Linked DNA regions of Ovis aries. The protein of the gene in region 7 interacts with the protein of the main gene of each other region in a pairwise test. Links are inferred from orthologs where the notes say so. Each region holds a gene or a part of one and is shown on either strand. Other genes may lie near its edges. The genes, in order: ZBTB32, IPO13, MGAT5B, MAGED1, DVL3, SPAG8 and PITX1.

Region 1 (4,101 bases), on a different chromosome or scaffold from region 7:
GAGATGGACGGCTTGCGGTGCCGACCTGACTCACACAGGTTGCTAGTTTACCTGTGGGAACAAAAGGCAAAGGAGGGCAGGGCTGGGATTCCCAGAGCCGGGTCACTGGAACACTCAGGCTGGGGCCATAGTGGCGCTGAGGCAAAAGCACCCTCACTCTACTCACCTGTGTGCCTGTGATCAGACTCTTCCGGCTCCCCAGGGCTGAGCTGTGTGGGGCCCTGGGGGAGGGAACCTGGAGGGAACAGAGTGAAGCAGGCGCCCTGCTCAAGCTGGACTCCTGGAGCCCTGGCCTCAGTCCCAGCCTCGAGACCACGTTACAGGGTGCATGCCAGGCAGTGAGGGGCTTACCTGGGGTGGGGCTGGAGGAGGCCAGCTGGTTCTGGCTCCAAAGGCCTTTATGGAGGTTTAGGGGCAGTGGGATCCTGGGGGTGGGATGGGGAAGAGTTACAGCCTTGGTTACACCTGGGATCCTGCAGATCCCTTTCTGGGGAGGGAGGAGTCATAAGTCCTCTGTGGGGCCTGGGCTTTGGCTTGCCCTGTGGTGACAACTTCTTGTCCTACCACAACTCAGGAAATGTATAGTAGAGATAAGAGATGTGGTACCCTTCCACCCATCACTGCTGCCTCTCCTGAACCACTCCCTCCCAGCCAGAGGTCTTCCATAAGCCCTTCGACTCACCTCTGGTCCCGAGGCCAGACCTCTTGCCAGGCTCCAGTCATAGGGATGCTATGGGAGAAGGGAGTGCCATATCTAGGTGGCAACAGAAGGATGCTCCACAGGGCAGGCTGGCCCTCCCCCAACCAAGGGGCCTCAGCCCACCAAGGGCTGGGGGTGGTGCCAGTTTGGAAGGAACCTGCTGGGGGAAGGGGGCCAGGGAACTCCCGCAGACTTTCCTCAGAGCCCTTTGCACTGTCCCTCAACCACATGATTACTTCTTGCTTCCCACTGACTCTGCCATGGCCAACAAGGGCTTGGTGGAGTTGCTCCTTTGGTTTCATCTGCTCCCCTCGACCCTCCAGAGTTGCCTCTGCCATGTCAGGGCTCTCTCTTGGCGGCCGCGGCCTGTGCAACGTCTCCTGCTCTTTCCCACCAGTTCTAACAAACTTCTCTGGTCTCTGCTTCTCCCCAAAGGCCCCCACGCCTCTCATCGAGTCCCTTGTGTGTTTCTCTAGCTCCTCCTGTTGGTTCTTCAGCCCTGGACCCAGCTCTTCTCTAGCCATGTCCCTTCGAGCCCTAATGCATGCCTCCTCCAGGGACTGCACCCCCAGTGTTCTGGCTGCCTCCTCAAGGGGCCCCAGTTCCCCAGGATGCAGCTCTAGACTCTCCCCGTAAACAAAGTGCAGAAGTTGGGCAAAGGTGGAAGGGCTGATGCCTTTCACCACAGCCCAGTGGCCCCTGCGACCCAGTTGCTGGCTCACACCTGCCAGGACCAGGCTGTGGGCAGGGAACTCCTGGCTCCCCACTGTGATCAGGGTATCACATAGTGCTGGCCGGAGCCTGGCTGCTAACCGTACCAGCCGATCAGAAGCATAGGGACTAGGCAGTCTTGTTGGGGACAGGGGCATTGTGCCTTGCCTTGGTACCAATCTCAGAGGTTCTGAGAGAAAGGCCACAGTGTAGGGTCCGTGGTGAAAAGGGGAGGGAGGAACCGCATACTCAAGCCTGTGGAGGTGAGGGAAGAAAGTGAGTTGCTGGATTTGAATCAGTTCTCTGTCCTGAATGGAGCAGAAAAAATGACCCAAGAGAAAACCCGAGGCTGTTCAGAATCATAGCAGGTGTGGAGGTGGTGAGAGAATGGAAATTAGACCAAATTCAGGACTTAAAAGAACAAGGATTGCACATTGAAGAGCTATCTCAAGTAGTGGATAGATGGGTCCTGCCAGTTGGCAATGTCTGACTTAAGGGAGAGCAGAGTTGGCAATGTCTGACTTAAAGGAGAGCAGACACTGATATTTCTGCTTCTCCAAGCTCCTCTGCAGGGAAAGACCCCCGAACAGGCCCCAGCTCTCATTCCAGACAGGATCACCACAAAACCCAGTCAGCCCTGTAAGTTAGGGGTGGAGCTAGACACAGTTTCATGGGAGTTTAGAAAGCCAGTGTGTCCTCCTCCTGCAAGCCTGTCATGTGGGGCTGAGGGTCCTGAGAGGAAAAAAGGGCAGCAAGATGGGGTCATAGCTGCAGAAAGCAGGCTCAAGGCATCAACTGATCATCTCCCTCAGGATGAAACTTCTAGAAACCATCCTCAGAGAAAGAACTGGAAGTGACCAAAAGCTCCCATGCAGTGAGATAAAGAGAGCAGGTTGGAACCCACAGGAGAGAAGGCTCCTCACCCAGGGATGGAGAGATGTCGGAAAAGGCTTTGACCTTGGAGGAAGCAGGCGAAAGGGAAATGGAAACTGTGGAGGGAGAGGCTGTTTCCTCTCAAGATAAGGATAAGGAGACAGTTCAATTTTGTTTTTCATAAGCCAAAAGTGAAGATTAGAAAGACAGAACCCAACAAGGCAGAAGTTTGTCACACATCAAAACCACCACCTTGGCTTTTAAGAAGAGAACTGGGAACCCAGATACAAAGAGACAGACCTAAGTGTCCCAGAGCCCAGCAGGCATATTCCTAAGTGTAGGCTCACCCTGAGTACAGATCCCGTAGAGGGAGGAATTACTACTTGGACACCTCACAGGGAGGGGTACAGGCTGGCAGGAAGTGGACAGAAAGAGGAATGTAATGGGAGGAAAGTCTCAGTTGGGGAGAAGCAACCACTCACCGGTTGTAGCTTCCTCCTGGACACCGCATGCTCTGAACTGCTGCTGGGGCTCCTGGCCCCCCTACTCTGGAGCTAGCCCCGCCCCTGACTTCACAGTCTTCCATTGGGTGTCCCAAGTATCAGTCTGCCACAGTCCCCCAAGGGGTGTGGTCTTACACCCCTGGCTGAGCTTCACCCCTCCAGGAGAGACCACTCCTCTCCTTCCAGAACTCAAGCATTCTGCCTCCTGACCTCTGGTCTTATTTCATCTGTGAATTTCTGGAGTCAAAGAATTATATCTGAAGCAATAAGAACTTTGGGATAATCAGACCTGCATTTGACTCTCATCTCTGCCATCTGCTAGTTGAGTCACCTTGGGCAAGTCACCTCTTTGAGCCTCAGTTACTTCATCTGTGAAATAGGGATAAGCTCTGCCTACCTCATTATGAGGTGGGGTGAAGATGAAATGACATGATGTATGTGAAAGTGGTTTCTCAGTACGTAGCATCATTCAAATAGTATTAGTTCTGTTTCTTAGAGGTGTCAGTAGAGCTCTAGCAGCTGGAAGCTCTTTATACTACCTCAAAAGTAAAAAGGACTGAAACATCTGGATTCTAAGAAGAGAGCGAAAGAGGGCCAAAAGCATGCCTCCTCCTCCCTCTCTCTGACTTGGTACTGGGAACCTTCCACTCCTCTGTGGGAATGACCCAGGCCATCTGGGCCATCGCTGGGGACAGGGTATGTGAGTGACTCAGATCCTCCCATCACGCTTTGAAGGGGGCAACCCCAGGAAGGGCCTGCGGTGGTCTCCAAAGAGAAAAACTTTTCTTGGGCTGGTGACAAATGACATTTCTCTGAAATCAGGACTTGCGGGGTTTCTTTGACTTCCTGCCCAGGGGATGAAGGTCCTCGGAGATTTGCCCTCTTTTCACAGTTTAGCACTCCTTAACCTGGGGAAAAGATGAGGTCTGAGAGACTCACATTTCTTTTTGTTTATTATTTCTTGCAGATTTTTCATGCATAGAACAGGTATTGCTAGATAGCTTACGATATGTGCTTGACATATGCCTAATAAATAACTAGAAGAGTAACAAGTCAGGCACTGGTAGGCTGTTCTGATGACAAGACCCAGTCTGCTTTCCCCAAGGCTTCTCTACTAGATGCTAGAGTCTGATTCCCTCCTAGACTCAAATATTATGTCTCTCAAACTCCTGTTTCGCCTTTTGGCTTCAGGACCCCCAAATGTTCAGACCACCCTTCTACTCTCTGTTGAGACCTAACATACCTTCATTCTACCTCTCATTCTAGCTTGGGTCCAAGCAGATGTTATCCCTTCCTAGATCAGACAGGGTGTGC
Region 2 (3,096 bases), on a different chromosome or scaffold from region 7:
GTGCATGTAATGGAGGGTAGGAGTATACATGGTAGTGGTGTGTCTGTATGAGGGTTGTATGTTTGGGAAGTTACATGTGTCGGGCTGTGGGAATGTGGGGTTAGTATGTGTGTCAGGGAGATCCTGTGAGTTGGGGGCTCCTATGGGTTGGGGTCTGTGATGTGTTTCTTTGTTTAATCACTCCACAAATATTTTTTGAGTGTGTTAAACGTGCTTGATCATGTGGTAGGTGCTGAGAATATAATGGTGAGCAAAAGCAGACACGGTTCTTGCCCTCTTGGCACTTACAGCCTAGTAGAGGGGTATAGGAGTGGGAATGGACAGTGTGCTCTGGGCCTGGGTGGACATGTGTGTGAGGGTGTATCTTTGGGCGAGGACATTTGAGCGTGGGTGTGCATGGGGAGAGTGTGCGTGCTAGAGAACTGGGGAGGGTGAGGGCCTGGGTGTGTGCATATGGTTTGGGGATACAGGGTTGGGCTTGGGATGAATGTGTAGCGAGGGTGTGTTGCAAATGGGGAGAGTGGTGTATACAAGGGATGTGATTGAGGTGTGATAGAGGGTAAGTAGGGCGTTTTAAGTGAGGGGCCTGTGGGGCTGTTTGCGCTTGAGTGAAAATGAGGGAGTGGAAGGTATATGAAGGCTGGAGGGTTGGGGGTTGATGTGGAATGCATTGGGGGGCTGCTGGGGGACAGCAGTGCTTGATGACTGTGGGAGCTGTGTAGAGCATCTCCTATGACCCGAGGATGTGCCATTCGCGCCTTGGTACCACTTGGGGTGAGCTCTCAGCCCCTATACTCCATCCACTTCCCCTGACATGGCAGCCCTGGCTCCTGGGCTGGGTATGAATGAGAAGGGCCCGGACACAGGCTGTCCTGGGCGAGGTGGGGCCGCGGCTCCCGGGCTCCTGCCCTGCCTTTCCTCTTCCTAAGCTGGAGAGTGTCTGAGGAATGCAGGCAGGACATAAGAGGGGGGCTGTGAACTGGGCTCCCTGTCCAGCTGCCATCTCTGCCCTGATAACAATCAAGGGGGCCTCAACTGCCTCTGTGAATCAAAGTGAAGTCACTGCTGGCAACCTGGAGCCTGCAGGAGGTCTGGCCCTGTGGTGGGGGGTGGGGTGGGGTGATGTGTGTGCTCGGGGGTGACTGGGGCCCAGGCTGTGGCATTATGACTCCCAACCTCTCTCATGCACATGTGCGTTCATGTACACATACACGTACATGGCATCCCTTGGCTGCTCCCCTCCTGACACACTGAACTCTGGAGTGGTCTCGTTCCCGAGATGGCTGGGTGGCTGGTTTTGGCAGCCTTCACTTGTGGTGTGTGAGGTTGGGGCCTGCGTGGCAGGTGAGTGGGAGGATGATTCTTAGAGTCGACTAGGGCTGGGCTTACCAGCTCCACCTCCTACAGGCTCTGAAGCGGAAGCCAGATTTGTTCCTATGTGAACGACTCGATGTCAAAGCTGTGTTCCAATGTGGTAAGTGGGGTGCCAGGTGGACAGGTGGGCCTGGGGCCCCCTCGGGAGCATCCCTGAGCCCCACCTGATCTGCCTCTGCCTCTCTCAGCTGTGCTGGCGCTCAAGTTCCCCGAAGCACCTACTGTCAAGGCCTCCTGTGGCTTCTTTGTGAGTCCCGTGCTGACCCCCAAACCCTGCACCGTCCTTACACCCCACCCACCCGGCCCAGGACTCTGTGGGGTAGGGGTGTGGTGTGCAGGCCTTGTCTCCAGGGAGATGGGGGAGAGGGGGGCTGACGGGCCTCTCCATCCTCTGTAGACAGAGCTGCTGCCTCGGTGTGGGGAAGTAGAGCCTGTGGGAAAGGTGGTGCAGGAAGATGGCCGCATACTGCTCGTAGCAGTGCTGGAGGTGAGACGGAGCGGGTGGGGCAGCCGGGTTTGGGGATGGGGCGGCCCTCACTGCTGAGGCAGCTGTCCTCCTGGCAAGCTTGCATCTCGGTTCCCTAAGCTCTGTTTCTTCATCAAGTAAATGGCTGGAAGTTGTTAGGTCGCTGTGAGGATCAGCTATCGTGTGTCAAGTAACGCTCACTCATCATGTGCACTGTGGCTGAGGAACTGCCCGGGAGTGGGTGGTGTGGCTAGGCTCTCTTGCTGCAGACGGGGCAAGGCCCTGGTGTGCTGAGAACCCATCTCCCTCAGGCCATTGGGGGCCAGGCCTCCCGCAGCCTCATGGACTGCTTTGCCGACATCCTGTTTGCTCTGAACAAACACTGCTTCAGCCTCCTGAGCGTGTGGATCAAGGAGGCGCTTCAGGCACCTGGCTTTCCCTCTGCCCGACTCAGCCCCGAACAGAAGGACACCTTCAGCCAACAGATCCTTCGGTGAGCAGAGCTGGCAGGGCCCGGGCTCGGGTCACGGGGAGGCGGAGGCCGTGGTGGGTGGTGGTGATAACTTGCTCTCCCTTCTCTCCTTCAGCGAGCGAGTAAACAAGAGGCGGGTGAAGGAGATGGTGAAGGAATTCACACTGCTGTGCCGGGGGCTACATGGCACAGATTACACAGCTGACTACTGAGGGGCGCCCCGTCCCACCCACACCTCCTCACCCCTCCTTATCCCCAAAGAGTAAACTTGAACCCTCACGGCACTGCTGTCTCTGCTTCCTTTCCACTGCCACCACCACCTGACTGGGTGACCTCAGATGACCTGGGGGAAGGATGGGAGGATGCTTGGACCCAGGCCTTGGTAGGGCATGATGGAGCCAACCTCCATCTAAAACCTCCAGCTTTTAGAGTGAAAGGAGCTTTACTACAGCCAAGCTGCCTAGACTGGAGCCATCCAAATACTGCCCTTGCCCTTGGGGTAGGTGGTGACTGCCGAGTGTCAGCATCCTGCCCCTAAATTAAATTAGTCCCAGTGTTTATGCATGCATACACTTATATAACCAATGGTGCTGAATACTAGGCCACTAATCATGCCGTGCCTTTTTCTGTCTGAACAAAGGCTGATGTAGTCCATAGCAACCATAATTCTCACTAAACTGGGAGAATGGAACCAGTGAGGAAGGCTTCCTGGAGGAAGTTTCATTTCTGAGGGCAGTGGGAGGTTTCCTAGGTAAAGGACTTGGGGCCTTGGGCTAGAAGTGAG
Region 3 (3,500 bases), on a different chromosome or scaffold from region 7:
TACAGTCCATGGGGATTCTCCAGCCAAGAATACTGGAGAGAGCTGCCATACCATCCCCCAGGGGATCTTCCCCAACCCAGGGATTGAACCCAGGTCTCCCACATTGTAGGTGGATTCTTTACCATCTGAGCCACCAGGGAAGCCCAAGAATATTGGAGTGGGTAGCCTATCCTTTCTCCGGGGGATCTTCCCGACCCAGGGATCAAACCAGGGTCTCCTGCATTGCAAGTGGATTCTTTACCAGCTGAGCCACCAGGGAAGGCCAGAGGGGAGATAATTTTTTTTGCAGCCAGCAAAGACTTGTCCTTACAATGGTCAGATTTTCACATTCTAGAGTCCATGAGCTTTCTGGATAGAAAACCACCGCCTCTTCTAAGATGCACCAGATATTAAGAATTTTGTGGGTATTGAGGGGGTTGGGTAGACATACTATGTCAAATCTACACATTTGATTAAAGTATACATCCCAGGACTCCCCTGGGAGTCCAGCGGTTAAGACTCCGTGCTTCCACCGCAAGGTGCGCGGCTTCGATCCCTGGTGGAGGAACCAAGATCACACAGGCCGGGTGGCACGGCCAAAAGGGAAAAAAAAAAAGTATATCTCAGTTACAGAAATGCTAAGATGTGAAAAACGTGCATCTGAAATGAAGAAAGGGGGTGTTTGGCCTCAGGGTTGTTCTGGGAAATCAAGGCCATATGGCTGCTGCCAACCTATTTCCCACATGCAACCTCTCCCACAGGGAAGGTAGAGTAGATGTAATTGGGTACCATAGGCATTCTGCTCGAGGTCCTTTGCATGGAAAGGAGAGACCATGGTCCTTGCAGATGGATGGCACCTGTGCCCACTCCTTTAGCCAGCCGCAGCTGCTAAGTCGCTTCAGTCATGTCCGACTCTGTGCGACCCCATAGACAGTAGCCCACCAGGCTCCCCCATCCCTGGGACTGGAGGCAAGAGTACTGGAGTGGGGTGCCATAGCCTTCTCCAGCCGGCCGCGGCAGACAGAGCTAATCAGTGATATGCCTGGAGCCTGGCCGAGGAACTGGAGACGCAGCTGAAGGGCACATCCTGACCCTGGTGCTCTGGGTTCTGGGAAGCGAGTCAGGGTGCGAATCCGCATTTTGCCGGAGACCTAAGCACGCCAGACAGGCCCTTAAAGGGAGGGCACTCAGACCCCAGAGAAGGCTCTTGGGAGGAGAGGAGTGCGAGTGGGGCCCTGGAGCGGAATACTCTCATCATGGAAAAGGGCGGTGGGCGCTTAAGCGAAGCGCAGGGGCAGAAGCTTGCAGGTGTGAACGCGAAGATGGGTCCGCGCATGCGTGAACCAGCCGGGCCAGGTGCTCCCAGGGGCCGGGGACACAGACAGCTCCGGCCCTCTTAGATTCTGACAGTAACACACGAACAAATCAGTATGCACTGTCGTGTCTGATCAGTGAGTTCTGGGGCAAAAGATAAGGCAGGGAAAGGAGACGGAGAGGGGCTGGGGTCAGGAAAGACCTCTTAGCAGGGCCCTGTGAGCACAGACCTGCGTGGAGAGAGAGTGGGGAGGCGGTGAGAGATGCCGCGGAAGGGGGCCGGGGCCCTGATGGATGGATGCTCTCCCCACCGCCCAACCCAAACCGCACCCCTTACCTCCTGCCCCCTTCCACTTCCCTGCCAAACGGGTGTCCCCTCCAATGGGGCCAGTCCCGGGTAGACCAGAGCATGCCCCTTCCTGACCTCGTGATCTGGCTGCAGCTCACACCCCGGACAACTCCTTCATGGGCTTCGTGTCCGAGGAGCTCAATGAGACAGAAAAGCAGCTCATCAAAGATGGCAAGGCCAGCAACATGGCGGTGGTGTACGGCAAGGAGGCGAGTATCTGGAAGGTGAGACCCGCCGGCCCCCAGATCCCATCACCAACCCTCAGCCCCCAGGAACTTCCCACCCCCCAGCCCTGGACAGTGGAAACGGCCCCCACTAATGGTCAAAAAAGAACTGCCGTTGGAAACACCGGCCTGGGACTCCTGCCTCACTCCCCTTCCTGCCCCCACTCTTTGCAACAAATTCAAACGTCTTCATCCCCCACCCTCGCTCGGGTAGATACACAAACACTCTAACCCACCAAAGGGGTTTAGGCTACATGTGGGGATTCTGGGGGGTGGGAGGCAGGGGAGAAATAAGAGAGGACCAGGGATTGGAACCCCAGCTTCAAGACAAAGCCCCTCCGAGAAGCACCGTCTGTGTGGGACGTTACCGCTCACCTGGCCGCTGACCTGTTCTCTCTCTTTTCTCTCTGCCCCCCTGGCAACGAAGCAGCTCCAGGTATGGTGACTGCTGCATGTTCCTTCCACCTCCTGCCGCTCCCTGCTCTCCACAGGGTCTCCCCTGCGGATGCTCTCAAGTTGGGCTTTCTGGGCTTGGTAGCACCTGTGGATGGACCAGACCAAGGGAGGAGGGTGATGGGGACATCGGGGTCTCAGGTGGGCTCTTTCTGGGGCCTGGAGGTCAGGGTCCAGCTCGGTGTGGAACAGAGCAGCTCCTAGGAGGGACAGTTGACCTAAGACAGGTGACATGAGGTTAAAGGTTAATAATAAAGATGCCCATCGTGGGGACCATCGGGCAGCCCCCATACCCCGTGTCAAGCTGTCACATGACCATCTTGGTTAAAGATTCTCACGCTGTATGGATTAGGTCCAGCTGTCAAAGAAAAGCCCTGACTAACCTTGACTGAGACAAGAGGGAAGTGTGTCCTCCTTCCTGTTGACAAGCCCTGGAGCTGTCAGTGTTGGGTTGACCCCTGGGGCTCTTCTCCCCTGGTTGACTCGCTGCGTTTAGTTCCCATCTGCAGTCTTGCTTCGTGGTTTAAGGTGACCACGGAGTGCAGTTATTACATCTGCCCTTCAGCGGGTGGTGCGGGGTCGGGGGCTTTGGAGGAGGAGGAGGAGGAAGGCCAGGTTTGGCATATCTCCTGAAGGTTACACACAGCTCTGCACCATATGGCCCCGTGGCTAGGTCTCAGTCCCGTGGCCACAGCCAGAGTTAGGGGACATTGGAAGTAGGTGTGTTCTAGCCATGTGTGCCCAGCTTAGCCCTGGAGTTCTGTGACTGAGTAAGGGGGAGAATTAAGGGACATCTCATGATCTATGCCAAGACAACCCTCTAAGGTTGCAGCCATGGTTAATACTCATCCAGCCAGAGCTTACTGTTGCCAGGTACTCACATATATTTTCTCATCTGACCATCAACTGTGAGGTTAGTGTGACCAACTAGTTAAGTGGGCAGGGCTGGGATTAGAACCCACATCTAACTCTAGGGCCAGGACTCTTAATATCCTCCTTGGTTATGACACCTTGGATGGTGGCAGAGAGAAGCTCTGGAGGCTGGACTAAGGCTCCAAGCCCTGGCTGAGACATCAGTGCCCACCATGGAGTGTGGGGACAGAACCAAGGGGCCATTTTCATATGATGCCAGACAAGCTGGCGGCCAGGATGCCTGGGGCGCTGGGTAAGGGAGTGAGCAC
Region 4 (2,255 bases), on a different chromosome or scaffold from region 7:
AGGAAGCTTCTCACTTATGAATTTGTAAAACAAAAGTAAGCGATGCCTAAGTGGCTTGTCTTGTCCTCATGAATTCTGTGTGCTGGTCAGCCTCAGAAAGCCCTTCCCATGCTGCTCATTTCTTATATTAACTATACCTATGCATATGCATACATATATACTCAGGAATATTTACTGAGTATATTCCTTGTGGCTGAATTTTCCTGCAGTATAGTTATCTTGCAAGTGAAGCTTGTCCACCACACCCACAGTAGATATTCCTAAGGCTGGGTTAGCAGAGGCTTTGCAATGGGCCTATCTGTGGTTCAGTAACAAGATTGTAACAACCCGGAGTCAGAACTGTGGCAGAGGGGGTGAAAAAGTGTTGTCCTTTCTATGACTCTACATAAGTCATCCTCTAGTCCTAGGTGACTAGTGTAGAAACACAGGAATTTGAAGGCCTAATTATTAGAGGGTAAATAATCTGTGTTTAGGAATGAGACTGGAGGGAGTTGCTACCTGAAATCTGAGGTGTCAGAATCTCGGATTATTTTGCATTGATGGACTCTCATTTTGGCTGAGTAGAAACAAAGGCCTTTCTCCTCTTTCTAAGGTACCTAGACTACAGACGAGTACCCAACAGCAACCCTCCTGAATATGAGTTCCTCTGGGGCCTCCGATCCTACCATGAGACTAGCAAGATGAAAGTGCTACGATTCATTGCAGAGGTAATAGAGGAACAGCTCTAGACTTGATAGGTTAAGGGATGAAGTATGACTGGCTGGGAGAAGTCCAGAGCAGGAATGAGATCTTTCTTAGGTATTGCACATGGTAGGTGCCACATTGTTGGTGGTATTTTTTGTTGTTACTGTGTAAACAGTAGCACAAAGTAGGGTGCTAAGTATATAGTGGGTGCTTCATAAATATTAACTAATACTATCATGGGCTTTATTTTCTACTCCTCATCTCAGGTTCAGAAGAGAGACCCTCGTGACTGGACTGCACAGTTCATGGAGGCCGCAGATGAGGCCTTGGATGCTTTGGATGCTGCTGCAGCCGAGGCTGAGGCACGGGCTGAGGCGAGAACCCGCATGGGGATTGGAGATGAGGCCGTATCTGGGCCCTGGAGCTGGGATGACATTGAGTTTGAGCTGCTGACGTGGGATGAGGAAGGAGATTTTGGAGATCCCTGGTCCAGAATCCCATTTACCTTCTGGGCCAGATACCACCAGAATGCTCGCTCCAGATTTCCTCAGACCTTTGCCGGCCCCATTATTGGCCCTGGTGGTACAGCCAGTGCCAACTTTGCTGCCAACTTTGGTGCCATCGGTTTCTTCTGGGTTGAGTGAGATTTTGGGTAGGTATATCACTTTGGATTGGGCACTTAGGGTCACTGGGAGTTACAGAGTCCATGTGAATGTATTTATGTGCTCTAGCTGGGAGTTCTAGGAAACCCATGGTGATGAGATGAAGGAAGTATGGGGAAGCAGTATTTGTTATTTATATTCCTTACTACTTGGTATATGCATTGATTTTTTAATTTTTTTTCTTCTTTATGTTCACAGATATTGCTAATACGTTGCAATTGTCTTTCCCCTGAGTGAGGATGAAGCCTCAGAATCCTTCTAAACGCAGCTATCTAGAGAGCCACATCCTGTTGACTGAAAGTGGCATGCAGGAAAAATTTATTTGCTGTTCCTTGTCTATTGCTTACCCCCTCCCTTGTGTGCTGTCAAGTTTTGGTATCAGAAATAAACATTGAAACTGCAAAGTAAATTAGATGTGTTCTCTGTTTTTTCTGGGTTTAATGAGAAATCACCATGTTTATATGGGAGAGATGGGGCCTCAGTACTAGCCTGAAGGGCAGATCAGCTTTCTAGCTAATGGATATGGAAACAAAAGAGTGATTGATGAACGTGAATGTTAAAAGAGGTCTAAAAATAGATATGGTATTAAATATCACTTAAGTGAATCATGTGATAGATATGCTGCTAGGTGTTTTGGAGTGACATTGAAAGATGAAATGAGAGAGGGTGTAGGTGGTCAGACAGTTGCATTTAAGAAGACAGGAGGTAGAACTCCAGGTAATAATAATAAAGTTGAGAGAGTGGGTGGTTGAAGGGAAGGGAATGTAGCTGTTCCTGGAGATAATGTTCTGGGGACTCAAGGGTGTTGGTTATATTATCCATGTGGAAAGTGAAATAACTTTGATGGGGGCAAGAATAGGAGCAGAGAACATGATGAACCAGGTGCCAGAGTTTCCTGTGTGAGAAGAA
Region 5 (3,236 bases), on a different chromosome or scaffold from region 7:
AGGGCAAGAAAGGGCAAACCTAGTTGCAAATCCTACTATTCCTAGAATTCTCCTGATAGAAACCAGAATATGGCAGGATGAAAATCTGACCTCCTACAGATCAGGGTCACAGTCTTAAGCCATGAAGCGACTGAATACAGGCTCGTCTAATTCTTGAACCAGCACTCAAGGCTTACTCCTACCTTTCTAGGAGCTTTGTCCTCAACACCTACCCTAAAGAAAGTGAAAGAAAGTGAAGTCACTCAGTCGTGTCTGACTCTTTGCGACCTCATAGACTGTAGCCTAACAGTCTCCTCCGTCCATGGGATTTTCCAGGCAAGAATACTGGAGTGGGTTGCCATTTCCTTCTCCAGGAGATCTTCCCAACCCAGGGATTGAACCTGGGTCTCCTGCATTGTAGGCAGATGCTTTACTGTCTGAACCACCAGGGAAGTCTCAATATTTACCGTACCCCCCTACCAATTTAGAGTAAATAATAATGATAATAATAATAGTAGTAGTAGTAATAATAATAGCTACCATTTATTGAGCACCTATTCTACTGTGTGCCAGGCACTGTGCTAGGCACTTTTCGTACAATATCTAATTTAAATCCTCACAACAACCCTGTGAGGTAGGTATTATTATCATTTTACATATGAGAAAACTGAGGCTCAGAGAGATTAAATAACTCTCTTATCACACAACCAAAAAGTAGTAGAGTTGGGATTCAAACCCAGAATAACCTGACTCCAAATCCCAAGCTCCTGTGAACTAGAGTAGAGGCAGAGGGGAGAGGAAGGACCAAATTCAAGAAAACTTGGAGTGGAATGGATATGATATACTGACTAGTAAAATATGGGAAGGAATTTAAGCCCATAAATGTTTCTAGCTGGTGAGCCTATTAAGAGTGATGAATGTAACCAGGATTGGAATTCAGGAGGAACATACTTGGCGGTATGGAGGGAAAAAGTTGAGCCTATCTGGACATGTCCAAGGAGATATCCAGCAGGTGATAAAAATACCGATCTAAAGATAAAGGGCAGTTAGGGATGGAGATATATATTGGGGAATCACCAGCATATCAATGGCAATTGACATCAGGATGGATGATTCTATTTTGGAAGTAAATAGAGAGGAAAGAGAAGTGGACCAATGATGGAATACAGGGACCCTTAAGGCATGAGCAATAGTGGAAGAATCCTCAAGAGAGTCAGAGATGGCGAAACCAGAGGAGGAAGAGAAGTACAGGAGGCAGCCCCATAGTAGTGGCTAGAGGCAACCATGATCTGGGCTGGGAGCAAACCTAGAGCTCCCAGAAGGAAGACAAGACTGAGTTACACTTCTAACACAGCCCTTAGGCACCACCCCCCCACCCCCGATCCCAGGAATATGTGTTAAATGAATGAATGCCAAAATACCCCTACCCTGGTTTACACCAAAACTTGGGAGCTTAGGACTTCATCTTACTCTTGATACCCCAGGTCTAAAAATATGGAAGCCTAGGTGAGCCAGAATTTATAGAAGAGGCTCATAGAGAAAGCTGTGATTTGTTTAAATGGGAGAATATGGTTAAGGAAAAAAAATCACCCCACAAAACCTGGTACTCTATCTGAAATCCCAGAAGTCCTCCTGCCCAACCTTGCTCTGAGTTATCATGATGACTGTGAAAACACTGTTAGTTGCCTGGGGTATCTTGTGCTGAGTCCAGCTTATGGGCTTTATTCAGATAGGAAGATGATGGGCACATGTGTGGGAGGTGTGAGGGCTATGAAGAGAGAAAAGTCAGGGGACCAGCCCCACAACCTGGGAGAGGACTGGGAGAGAGGGTCCAGCCCTCTGGTCAGGGACCAGCCCTGAGGCTTAAGTGAACTTGCATAGGCACGTGTGTGTGTGTGAGAGAGAAAGAAAGAGAGACAGACAGACAGACAGACAGAGAGGGAGAAAAAGGGAGAGAGGGAATGAGAGAGCAGAGAACTCTCTGGGGAAAGGGGAACAGAGGCTCTCGTAGGTGGGTGAGAGGCTGGGGTGATTCTCAGAAGTCTAGTGACTTGACATGTTTGTTGAAGTGTGGGTATGGGGGCTAAATATCCTTGGAAAGCCCTGAGGGGCTGCTGAAGCAAGGTTCCTGGTCTCCTCAGAGGCTGGGCCTCCTCTCGCTGGGGACTCACAGAAAGTCAAACAGCCCGAAATTCTTGGCTGCTCCAGGCCCAGGAAAAATTGGGAGAGGAAAAAAGAAAAGAAAAGAAATGTTTCAGCCCAGAGGTGAGATGAGCCTGCTGATTAGCAGGGTTAGGGGTCTGAAGGAGTCAGCACATGGGGCAGGCATGGGGTGGGTGTAGGTTTGGGTGCAGAGCAGAGATGTTCCCTGGGATCTGCTAGCAGCTCAAGCAACTGAGGGGGCCCTCTGGGCTTCTGCTAAGGTTGCGTGCAGGCAGGGTTAGTATGCATGGTTATTGGAGGGGACTGCAGCTCTAGGGTGCAGGGCTGAGGCAGTAGGTGGGGACAGTTAGGAGGAGGGGCAGATGAAGCAAGTCTTTTTTGGTGTCAGTATTAAGGGAAAAAGTCAAGAATCATGCATGCAAGATTAATAGAGGGATGATGCCGCTAAATGAATGGAGAAAAGGAACTGGGAGAGGGGAGGCAGGGATGACGGGTATGCAGGTCTTCAAGGGCACTTCTGGGGTCAATTCTTGAAATATGTGTGTACGGGGTTGGGGGAGGGTAAGGAGCAGCACTAGCCATTTGGGTCCCAGGGACATGAATGATCCTGGGAAGTCCTGCACAGCAGTTAGTGGGCAGAGGGACAAGCTGGGGCCGGTGGCAGGTTAAGGGCTGCATTGCCGATCAGTGGGTGCACCCCACCCTCGCTGCACCCAGCGAGCAGTTAGCGCGCCTGGATTTAGTTCCATTTATTTCCCTTTCAGGTACCAGACAAAATAAAAAAGACGGACGGAGAGAGGAACGCAGCCAGCCTGGGGCGGGGTAGGATGGTAGTGGGGGAGGGGCCCTGCTCACATCACATCCACAAAGAACTCACTGGGGTTTCCCATGGCCATGCGGAAGGACTGTCTGCTGGCGGTCAGTTCGGGGGGCACGGAGGCCAGGTCGCGGCCCGGAGGGGCTCCCGGGGGCCCCATGGCCGCGGGCGGTGGGGGCATCATCAACATGGGGGGCCCGTAGAGAGGGGGCACCCCAGGGGGGCCGTAGCTTGGGTGCGTGTGATGGCTGCGCAGGCTGCTGGCCAGCGAGTGGTG
Region 6 (4,215 bases), on a different chromosome or scaffold from region 7:
AGATGCGAACTTACTGGCTCCTAGGAGAGCGGAAAGGACCTGCTGGGCTCCTATAAACCCTACTTCTTCTCAAGCCAGACAATCCTCTGCTGCTGGTACCTGGGTGGGCAGTAGCCATCATCTCTCCACACATCAGAAGTGGACATTGTCACATGAGATGGAAACCAACATTCATAAAACCCCCACCTTATATGGAAACTTACCCTTTGCAGCTCAGTCTTGTACATATACCTGTCCCTCTCTGGCCTGGTCCCCTTCCTCCCTACCTTCTGTAAATATCTGTATCTAAACCAGAATATTTTGGCCAAATATAAAACAAACAAACAAAAACAGTTATGGGTGACATAGTCTGTGTAAGGGGCGGCTTCAAGGTTCTGGGGTATGGACACAGTAACTCACAGAATCACTGAATCAGCAGTCTCAGGATGAGAGAGAACACTTTTTATGTAAAACCCTGTCACCAAGTACAGACCAAATTCACTTCCTCCCCACCTCTCCAGTACAGAGAGGAGATTCCATATTCCACATCTACTTGCCTCCTCAGCCCTTAGACAGGAGTAGTTCAACACCCTCCACCACCCTGCGCCCCTCCCTGACAGGCAAGGGAAGATATTTTTCCTTGTTGGGAATAACTCTCAGGTTCAAAGGGCAACGGCTCCCCTAGAGACAAAGGCGCAGGTGTTGAGAAACTGCAGTTCTTCCGGAATGGTGTGTCTAGTGTCCTGATGTGACTGACACCCTGGAGGAATGCCAGAATGAGGATGGGGCCTGCTCTGCCCCAACCCAGGACAGAACAGCCTCCTCCCCTCCTTTCACCCACTCCCAACAGCCGGTCACTCTCACACACCGGTAGCTGAGGTGCCCTCTCTAGCCAGAAGGTTTCAGGCTGCTCTGTACGGTAGTCATGGAGCTGTGAGGGAAATACTGCGTAACTCTTGGCCTGAAGAGTTGACTCTTCAGCTCTTCAGCCTCTGGGCTGGCTGCTTTCCCACAGCCTGTCAGAACCCAGCTGTACAAGGGTGAGGGGTGGGGGTGACTGCGTTCTTACCTTTGTTGGGGCGGGAGGCCCTGCCTGCACCAGCTCCTTTTTGTAGTCGTGGTGTGTCACAGACTCGAACTCAAAGTCCTTCCTTGTGGGTTCCTGCTCTGCCTGCACCTCTTTACTACAGAGGCCTGGGGAGGGTCAAGGGCATTCTCCCCTGACTTTTGTCCTCCCCCTCCCCATTTCCCTTCACCCAGCCTCTCACCAGATCTGTTGGCGCAAGAGCATCTCCAGTATGGCTTCACGCTTCCCTGGGGGAGGTCAGGGAATGGACAGAATAGAGGAGGCTGCTTAAGAAACAGGCCCAGAAGAAACAAAGTTGGGGAAAGGAGGAAAAATTGGGTTTTGTCCTTACACCCCTCAGACAACCATAGGCCCACCTGATATTCTTTTCTCTACTGGACTCATTCTTGCCCATTCTCTCATGTTTCATACCTCGAATTGGCTGACAGTGGCTTGTTGGGGGCTGGTAGGAGTCTTTCTGGGTGGTGCAGGAGGACATGGGTGACTGTGGCTGCAGGGTCAGCAGTCCCCGGTGTCCGTGTCGGAAAAAGAAACTCTCAGAGCCATCCTGCATGACTGGGACTTGATCCAGGTAGTTGGTGGCTCTCTGTAGGCCCCAAGTTGAGTGACAATGATATCCTTCCTTGTAACCCACCCCCATCAACCGAGGGCAGCCTTCAAGAAAAGGGAGCAGGTCAAACCTTAATACCTCCTCCTCCCAGTTGTAGAGAAGGCACTGGCCCCGTGGCAGTGTTTCACTGAGAACCGTACTCTTCCCTTCAATGTCGGGGGGCTTCCACAGCCCTCGGGCACCAGGTTCTGAGACTTTCAAAAATTTCCAGGATTGTTTCTGCGGCTCCCAGTGACAGTGGTGTTTGCAGCCAGTATAATTAGGGATAAGATCTCCCCTGGGGTTTCTGAAGCCTACAGGAGCAGAGAAGTTGAACCTAGGGCCATGGCCATGGCCTGGGCTATGCCTAGAATCAACAGCAGGACCAAGATCAGTGCCTTGACCAGAGCCACCGGCAGGACCCTGACCAGAGCCACTACCAGGACCAGGGCCATGGCCAGGATCTCCACCTGAGCCACCGCCAGGGCTACCACCAGGACCAGAACTGGAGCTAGGTCCAGGGTCAGAGCTGGAGTCAGGACCAGGGCTAGAGCTGGAGCCAGGAACAGGGCCAGAACTGGAGCCAGGAACAGGGCCAGAACTGGAGCCAGGAACAGGGCCACGACTAGAGCTAAGGTCATTTGTAGTATAGGAATTCCGAGCAACATGGGAAACATTGACAGGCTGAAAGCCGAGTCTCCCGTGGCTTATCTTGTGGGTAAATCCGGGTCCAATGTAGCGCTCTGTCAGACTGTCAGAGGAGGGCTCCGTGAACAGGCTCCCATGAGAGTAGGGGGCTGGGCTCTTTGTCGATAATGCAGCTGCTCTGGCAGTGGAGGCGGCTGAAGCAGCTGCTGAAGCTGCTGCGGTTGCAGCTACCAGGGCCGATCTATGACGGCCATCCCAAGAAGAAAAGGGATCGGAACTGGACCCTAGTCTGTCCGAGCTGGGCTGTAAGTCTAAAGATCTGGGGGAAAAAAAAAAAAGTGAAAGCGGCAAAGCTGTCAGCACAGCAAAGTCTGTAAACTTCCTTGTCCCCTTCCGCCCGCAGCCAGAGCTGTGGCTCTCACCGCGACTGCGATCTGTCAGTAGACTCAGAGGTCTCCATCTTCCGACGCCAGCTACTGGGTTGCCATAGAGACGGCAAACCTTGCCAGGAGACTGCGCAGAACTAGAGCTAGGCGGACGTGGAGGGTGAGGGTGCTGACAAGTTCTCTGCGGGGCGGAAGTCTTAAACCCGCTGTGGTTTGCAATGGCTGCCTTCCGTCCGGATTCCCTTCCGCGTCAGCCCGGCTCTTAAAGTTCCGCTGGCCTCCATAACTAACCAGGCGTGCTGCGATTCATGGGGTCGCAAAGAGGCCGACTGAGCGACTGAACTGAACTGAACTGAACTGAACTGAAGGTGGTTCTTTGTGTTTTAGAACAGGCACAGGGCTGAGGTATCAGTCAAAGGCCTATTTCGTGTATTTATGGAGGAACATTTTTTCAAAGCTTTTAAGGATGAAGAGGCATCAGACAAGTAGCTCAAAAGCAAAATGGTGAGAATTGGGGATTAGCCAAAGGGTGGCCAATTTTTTGGGGTTTGATTATTTCTCTTCCAGTAAAAGGCCCTCACACTGACAGTCCTCCTTACAGACCCTGCTTAGAATGTGGCTTGGCAAGTCTTGGGATTCAGTCTCTTCCTATTCATTCAGGCGAATTCCTACTTTTCTAGAAGCCTGCCCCAGGTAGACCACCAGTCTTGAGCTCAGAGATATATAGGTATTTAAATACTCCTTTACAGAATGGGCTTCCTTAAGTGTCTCAGACCATAGTCAAGGGGGATCATAGTCTTGAATCAGTTTTCTTTCCTATTTGTAGTATAAATCTTCATATAGTTAAGACAAGGATCCAGAATTGAGGGAGAGCGAGTTTATTAGCTTCACAGGGTGCCGTTTTCCCCCATCCCATCCAAACATCCAAGTCAGGGGTCCTTGGTCATTTGGTAAGTTCAACCTGGAGGCCACTGGAGCTGTCGGCCCCCAAGTACGTGAATGTGTAGGTGATACACAGACTGTGCACCCAGCTTGCCATCGTTGATCACTGAAATGGAGTTTTGGGTTAGGGGGTGAGGATTATGGGAAGGTCAAAGAATGGTCACACAGAGGGGCAGGTGTGAGAATTCACAGTCGAGGGAAGGGCTCAGGGGCCAAACATCACTCACCAAGTCGGTATCCATCACCCAGCCCCTCAGCCTTTGCTGTTTTCTTGGCCACAAGGAGAAGGTGTCCAAGAAGCTACAGGGAAAGGGGAGGGAGATAGGTTGCTTCACTTACAGGCAGCAAAATTTCTAGAGGAATACAGGGCTCCCCCAGCCAAACCCTGGCCCTGTCCTTCCCACCTGTTGGTCTTCCTCTTCAGCCTGGCTGATCCGAGGAATGGGCTTCTTAGGAATGACCAGAAAGTGCACAGGAGCCTGAGGGGCCACATCCCGGAATACGAGACACTGGGAGCAGTGACAGGCCAGAGGCCACCATGTTACTTCAACCGGCTGGATGGTATTTATGAAATTCTTAGGGGG
Region 7 (3,500 bases):
TGCTCGCCCGGGTGGTTCCGCGCGCGCCTCGCGGGGAGCCGCTCTTACCTGGTAGCTCCGTGTCGGACGACTCGCTGGCGGAGTTTTCGAGAGGCTCGCGGGGGTCGGCCGTGCGGGCTAGGTGGAAGGCGGGCCCCATGTCGTGCGGCTGCGGCGGTGGCGGCCGCAGTCCCTCTGGCAGCCGCTCCAGGCTCATGCCCCCCTTGAAGGCGTCCATGGAGGCGGGGACCGAGGCGGGCGCTCCGGGGGCCGGGGCTGGGCGCGCCCGGCCGCCCCGGCGGCGACCTGCGAGGACAAGAGCGCAGCCCCTAAGCGGCTGCCCCCCAGGGCTGCCCGCGCCCGCAACGACGCCGCGCTCGCCCCATGGGCCGCCCGGGGCTGCGGGGCCAGGCGGGCGGCAGCGGCAGCGGTTTCTCGCGACCCGGGGGCCCGGCTTCGCGCTCCGCGCTGCGCTCCTGCCGCTCGGGCCTCAGCCGCCCGCCCGGCCCCGGCTCCGGCTCCCGATCCGGGGCCGGTTTCTAAGGCTCCGGACGGCGCCGGCAGAGTCTGTCTTAAAGCGACAGCGCGCACCGCCAGGTTCCAGCAGTCCCTGCGCCAGGGGTGGTGGGTGGGGTGGGCCCGCGGGGGAGGGGGCTGGGAGGGAGGGAGCGAGCGAGAGAGCGAGGGAGCGCGGGCGGAATCCAGCCCCGAGCCGCCCGCGCCGCCGCGCCCTCTCTGCCGCCCTCCCTCCCTCTCTGCCTGCCTCGCCCGCGCCCTCCCCCTCCGCAGCCACCTTCCCGCCGCCTCCCCCCTCCCGCGGCCTCGCCGCGCCTCACCCTCCTTCCCCGGTGGCACACTGAGTTCTCCCTCGGCCGCACAAAAGAAACGCATCTGGCTTGCAAGCCCCGCGCGGCTCGTGCCCACCTCAAGCCCCAAATGACTTGTTTCGCTCAGAAATCAACTCCTGTCTGGGCCGCCTCGAAGTTCCGAGCCTCTGGCGAGAACAGCCCGGGATGAGTGAACGTTCACCGAGCAGGATCCAACCGACCGGGAGCCTGCGAGTCAGCGCCAGGGCGGGGGCAGAGCCCGGGGCTCGTTCCGGCAGCTCCCAGCGGCGTCCTCGTCGAGGGGCCGCGGCCCCTCCTTCCCCGGGATCTTCTCCCGGGACCCGAGCCAGGCTGAGTGACAGCAGCCTGCGCTCTAATGGGCCCCCGGATGCTGCCTCCTAATTAGCTTGGACCCTCTCCCCCAAGGCTGCTTCTCAGGCCTACCCCCTCTGCACCGCAGTCAATTTTCCGGGATTGGGATAGAACCGATGGCTTCTAATCAGACGAAACGTTTCTGTTGGCTCCAGGCCGCTGTCGAGTGCAGCAGGAGACCCCAAGAGCCCTGCCAGGCCCCCACAGCCTCTTCTCTCCCCTTGTTTTGCACCTTCAACGGTCTGGCCAAATCCGCCAGGTCCCGGCCTTGGCCACCACAGGGTGGGCCTCTCTCTGCCCCCTTCCCAGCAGGTTCGCAGGGCCTCACTTTGGCTTCTCAAGTGTGGCAGGCACAGGCCCGACAGGCCAGGTGACTGCAGTTTCCAAACAGGCCAGGAAGCCTAGGACAGTCTTGGAGCTTCTCTTAGCTACAACGGTAGCTAAGCTACAGCACCAGTGGGCACTCCATGAGCACAAACACATTCCCCTTCCCATCCCTTAGAATGAGTCCCTCCTTGAATCCTCCTACTTCACTGAAGTTTGTTGAAGGATTTTGCTTAACAATTGTTAACTGGTCCTGAGATGTCAGAGTCTTGAGCAAATAGGTGACCGCTGGGATGGTAGGGTGCAGCCCTGACCTGTTCCTCTAGCCACAGGTGGACCCCAGGGTGCCCTTTGCCCCTCTTCTGTGTGCTCCACCAGACAGAAGCAGCACTGGGCAGGATGGTGGTGGGGGTGGGGTGTGAGGCCCGGAGAAGTACTGTGGTCATCTCCAGGCCCAGTGCCTCACGCTTGGGCCCAGGGCATCCTAATGTTCTCCTGGGATCTCTGCCTGGGGCTGACTGTGCAGGCTGTCAGGCTCTGGGACCCTTAGGAGTCCCTTTCCTCACCTGGCTCCCTATCACCCTGGCAGTCACCTGCCTCCACCCCAGGCTGAGCTCTTTGGTGAGGATTGTGGGGGCAGGGGCGTGGGCAGGGTAGAACCAGGCCTGCCTCTCACTCCCTTGGCCCCAGTCCAAGGCCCCCAGCTCTGGGTCCTGGGGAGCAAGCACAGTTCTAGGGCAAGCCCACTCTCCCTGGGTGCCTGTGACCACAGGGGGCAAACTCGGAGGCTGGGGCCACAGCAGAATGCATCCAGGAGTTTGGGCTGGGGGAGTGGCTCTAACTTCTCCGAAGGGAATTTCCTGTAGGCTGAGACCCCCAGGGAGAAAGCATACTTGGTGTGTAGGGGATGGGGAGGGGTACCTGGAGACAGGGAACAGTGGTTGCTGAGCATTTGGCCTCAGCCCCATCTTTGACCACAGTTTCCAGTTGAATCTCCTAAAGGAGCAATACCTCCTTTCAAGGATGTATTTAGGTGTTATGCCATGCCAGTGAGTGCCCCTCCGCATGCCACCTTCCTGGTAGCTGCCTTACTTCGAAGGGACAGTGAGCCACCCAGCGTGCCAGGATCACAGAAGCATGCAAATACTTATATGTACTGCATACCTGTACAGGTGTGCTGTGCACACATACACACACATACTCACTGCGCCCACACAGGGGAGTGCTGAATACAGTCACATACATGTACACACAACCAGGCCTCTGAGCTCCAGAACACTGATGCTGTCTGGCGCGAAATCTGGCTGAGAGGGGTGTGTTCTAAGCCCACCAAGTGTCAGGCCAAGGTGGGAAGCACAGTGTTCCTCTGGGAGGGGTCGTGAAATGAATGGTCTGCCTTTGGGCGTCCAGAGGCTGGCCATCACAACTCACATTCCCCAGAGGGTCTAAAGAGTCAGGCGTTCCGCGGATGGGGACTGTTTTGCGACTCTGCAGCTCTAGCTACTCAGTCTGAGGGACTTGTGTCCCTCACTGTTGATGCATTTAATGCAGTTATTGAGCACCTGCTGTGTGCCCCTCCAGATCCAAGCCTCTGGCAGTGCTCCAAGTAGTCACAATCCCTATATTTGGAAATCTTGATGCCTGCTGTGTGGACTGAAAGGTCCTCAGACTATTGCGGGTGAAGCTCCATATCCCGGGGCCCTGAGCCCTAGGGAGGGGCTGAGACTAGTGGGGGTTGCCCAGGGGTGTTTTCTCCACTAGAGTCAGCGCTGAAGGAGTAGGGGTGAGGAACTGATCCAGAGGAGGCCCTGGCCTGATCTCGGGTGCTGGCTGGAGAAGGGACCTGGGGTGCTCTCTCCCCTGGCCGCTATCCTGGGCAGAATAGGGGCTTCTTGCACACACTCACAGATGCAACACACACACACATGAGACAGGAGGCAGCTCTCTTTCAGGAATAAGAGCAGGGACTCAATGTTCCCTTGGCTCTTGCTGTGTGAC

What was found.
Region 1: the proteins of PITX1 (region 7) and ZBTB32 interact in a two-hybrid assay, tested with the Homo sapiens proteins (2 studies listed by BioGRID). The link is inferred for Ovis aries from reciprocal best matches to the Homo sapiens genes PITX1 and ZBTB32.
Region 2: the proteins of PITX1 (region 7) and IPO13 interact in binary tests that used the Homo sapiens proteins (3 or more experiments, as listed by UniProt). The link is inferred for Ovis aries from reciprocal best matches to the Homo sapiens genes PITX1 and IPO13.
Region 3: the proteins of PITX1 (region 7) and MGAT5B interact in a two-hybrid assay, tested with the Homo sapiens proteins (2 studies listed by BioGRID). The link is inferred for Ovis aries from reciprocal best matches to the Homo sapiens genes PITX1 and MGAT5B.
Region 4: the proteins of PITX1 (region 7) and MAGED1 interact in binary tests that used the Homo sapiens proteins (3 or more experiments, as listed by UniProt). The link is inferred for Ovis aries from reciprocal best matches to the Homo sapiens genes PITX1 and MAGED1.
Region 5: the proteins of PITX1 (region 7) and DVL3 interact in binary tests that used the Homo sapiens proteins (3 or more experiments, as listed by UniProt). The two-hybrid records come from large-scale screens. The link is inferred for Ovis aries from reciprocal best matches to the Homo sapiens genes PITX1 and DVL3.
Region 6: the proteins of PITX1 (region 7) and SPAG8 interact in binary tests that used the Homo sapiens proteins (3 or more experiments, as listed by UniProt). The link is inferred for Ovis aries from reciprocal best matches to the Homo sapiens genes PITX1 and SPAG8.

The regions. Positions count from the first base shown.
Region 1 is NC_056067.1:45,734,591-45,738,691, reverse strand, and holds the start of ZBTB32 (zinc finger and BTB domain-containing protein 32), read right to left. Parts: upstream 2,801-4,101; 5' UTR 2,796-2,800; coding exon 2,767-2,795; intron 1,667-2,766; coding exon 683-1,666; intron 426-682; coding exon 1-425. UniProt on the Homo sapiens protein: DNA-binding protein that binds to the to a 5'-TGTACAGTGT-3' core sequence. May function as a transcriptional transactivator and transcriptional repressor. Probably exerts its repressor effect by preventing GATA3 from binding to DNA.
Region 2 is NC_056054.1:18,605,408-18,608,503, forward strand, and holds the end of IPO13 (importin-13), read left to right. Parts: exon of another isoform or gene 1-1,397; intron 1,398-1,407; coding exon 1,408-1,474; intron 1,475-1,562; coding exon 1,563-1,621; intron 1,622-1,771; coding exon 1,772-1,861; intron 1,862-2,151; coding exon 2,152-2,333; intron 2,334-2,427; coding exon 2,428-2,524; 3' UTR 2,525-2,596; downstream 2,597-3,096. UniProt on the Homo sapiens protein: Functions in nuclear protein import as nuclear transport receptor. Serves as receptor for nuclear localization signals (NLS) in cargo substrates.
Region 3 is NC_056064.1:54,259,288-54,262,787, reverse strand, and holds part of MGAT5B (alpha-1,6-mannosylglycoprotein 6-beta-N-acetylglucosaminyltransferase B), read left to right. Parts: intron 1-1,735; coding exon 1,736-1,866; intron 1,867-3,500. UniProt on the Homo sapiens protein: Glycosyltransferase that acts on alpha-linked mannose of N-glycans and O-mannosyl glycans.
Region 4 is NC_056080.1:53,606,162-53,608,416, reverse strand, and holds the end of MAGED1 (melanoma-associated antigen D1), read left to right. Parts: coding exon 1-35; intron 36-592; coding exon 593-707; intron 708-950; coding exon 951-1,328; 3' UTR 1,329-1,336; intron 1,337-1,544; 3' UTR 1,545-1,755; downstream 1,756-2,255. UniProt on the Homo sapiens protein: Involved in the apoptotic response after nerve growth factor (NGF) binding in neuronal cells. Inhibits cell cycle progression, and facilitates NGFR-mediated apoptosis. May act as a regulator of the function of DLX family members.
Region 5 is NC_056054.1:203,768,112-203,771,347, forward strand, and holds the end of DVL3 (segment polarity protein dishevelled homolog DVL-3), read right to left. Parts: coding exon 3,020-3,236; coding exon of another isoform or gene 2,994-3,019; exon of another isoform or gene 2,179-2,993; coding exon 2,147-2,178; 3' UTR 501-2,146; downstream 1-500. UniProt on the Homo sapiens protein: Involved in the signal transduction pathway mediated by multiple Wnt genes.
Region 6 is NC_056055.1:52,733,887-52,738,101, reverse strand, and holds SPAG8 (sperm-associated antigen 8), read right to left. Parts: upstream 2,801-4,215; 5' UTR 2,764-2,800; coding exon 2,726-2,763; intron 2,623-2,725; coding exon 1,755-2,622; intron 1,653-1,754; coding exon 1,478-1,652; intron 1,294-1,477; coding exon 1,248-1,293; intron 1,164-1,247; coding exon 1,049-1,163; intron 1,010-1,048; coding exon of another isoform or gene 911-1,009; coding exon 848-910; intron 740-847; coding exon 563-739; 3' UTR 427-562; downstream 1-426. Other genes in the region: NPR2 (atrial natriuretic peptide receptor 2), read left to right, coding at 1-56; adenosine 5'-monophosphoramidase HINT2, read right to left, coding at 3,646-3,737, 3,859-3,931, 4,036-4,140. UniProt on the Homo sapiens protein: Microtubule inner protein (MIP) part of the dynein-decorated doublet microtubules (DMTs) in cilia axoneme, which is required for motile cilia beating.
Region 7 is NC_056058.1:44,096,455-44,099,954, forward strand, and holds part of PITX1 (pituitary homeobox 1), read right to left. Parts: intron 286-3,500; 5' UTR 218-285; coding exon 49-217; intron 1-48. UniProt on the Homo sapiens protein: Sequence-specific transcription factor that binds gene promoters and activates their transcription. May play a role in the development of anterior structures, and in particular, the brain and facies and in specifying the identity or structure of hindlimb.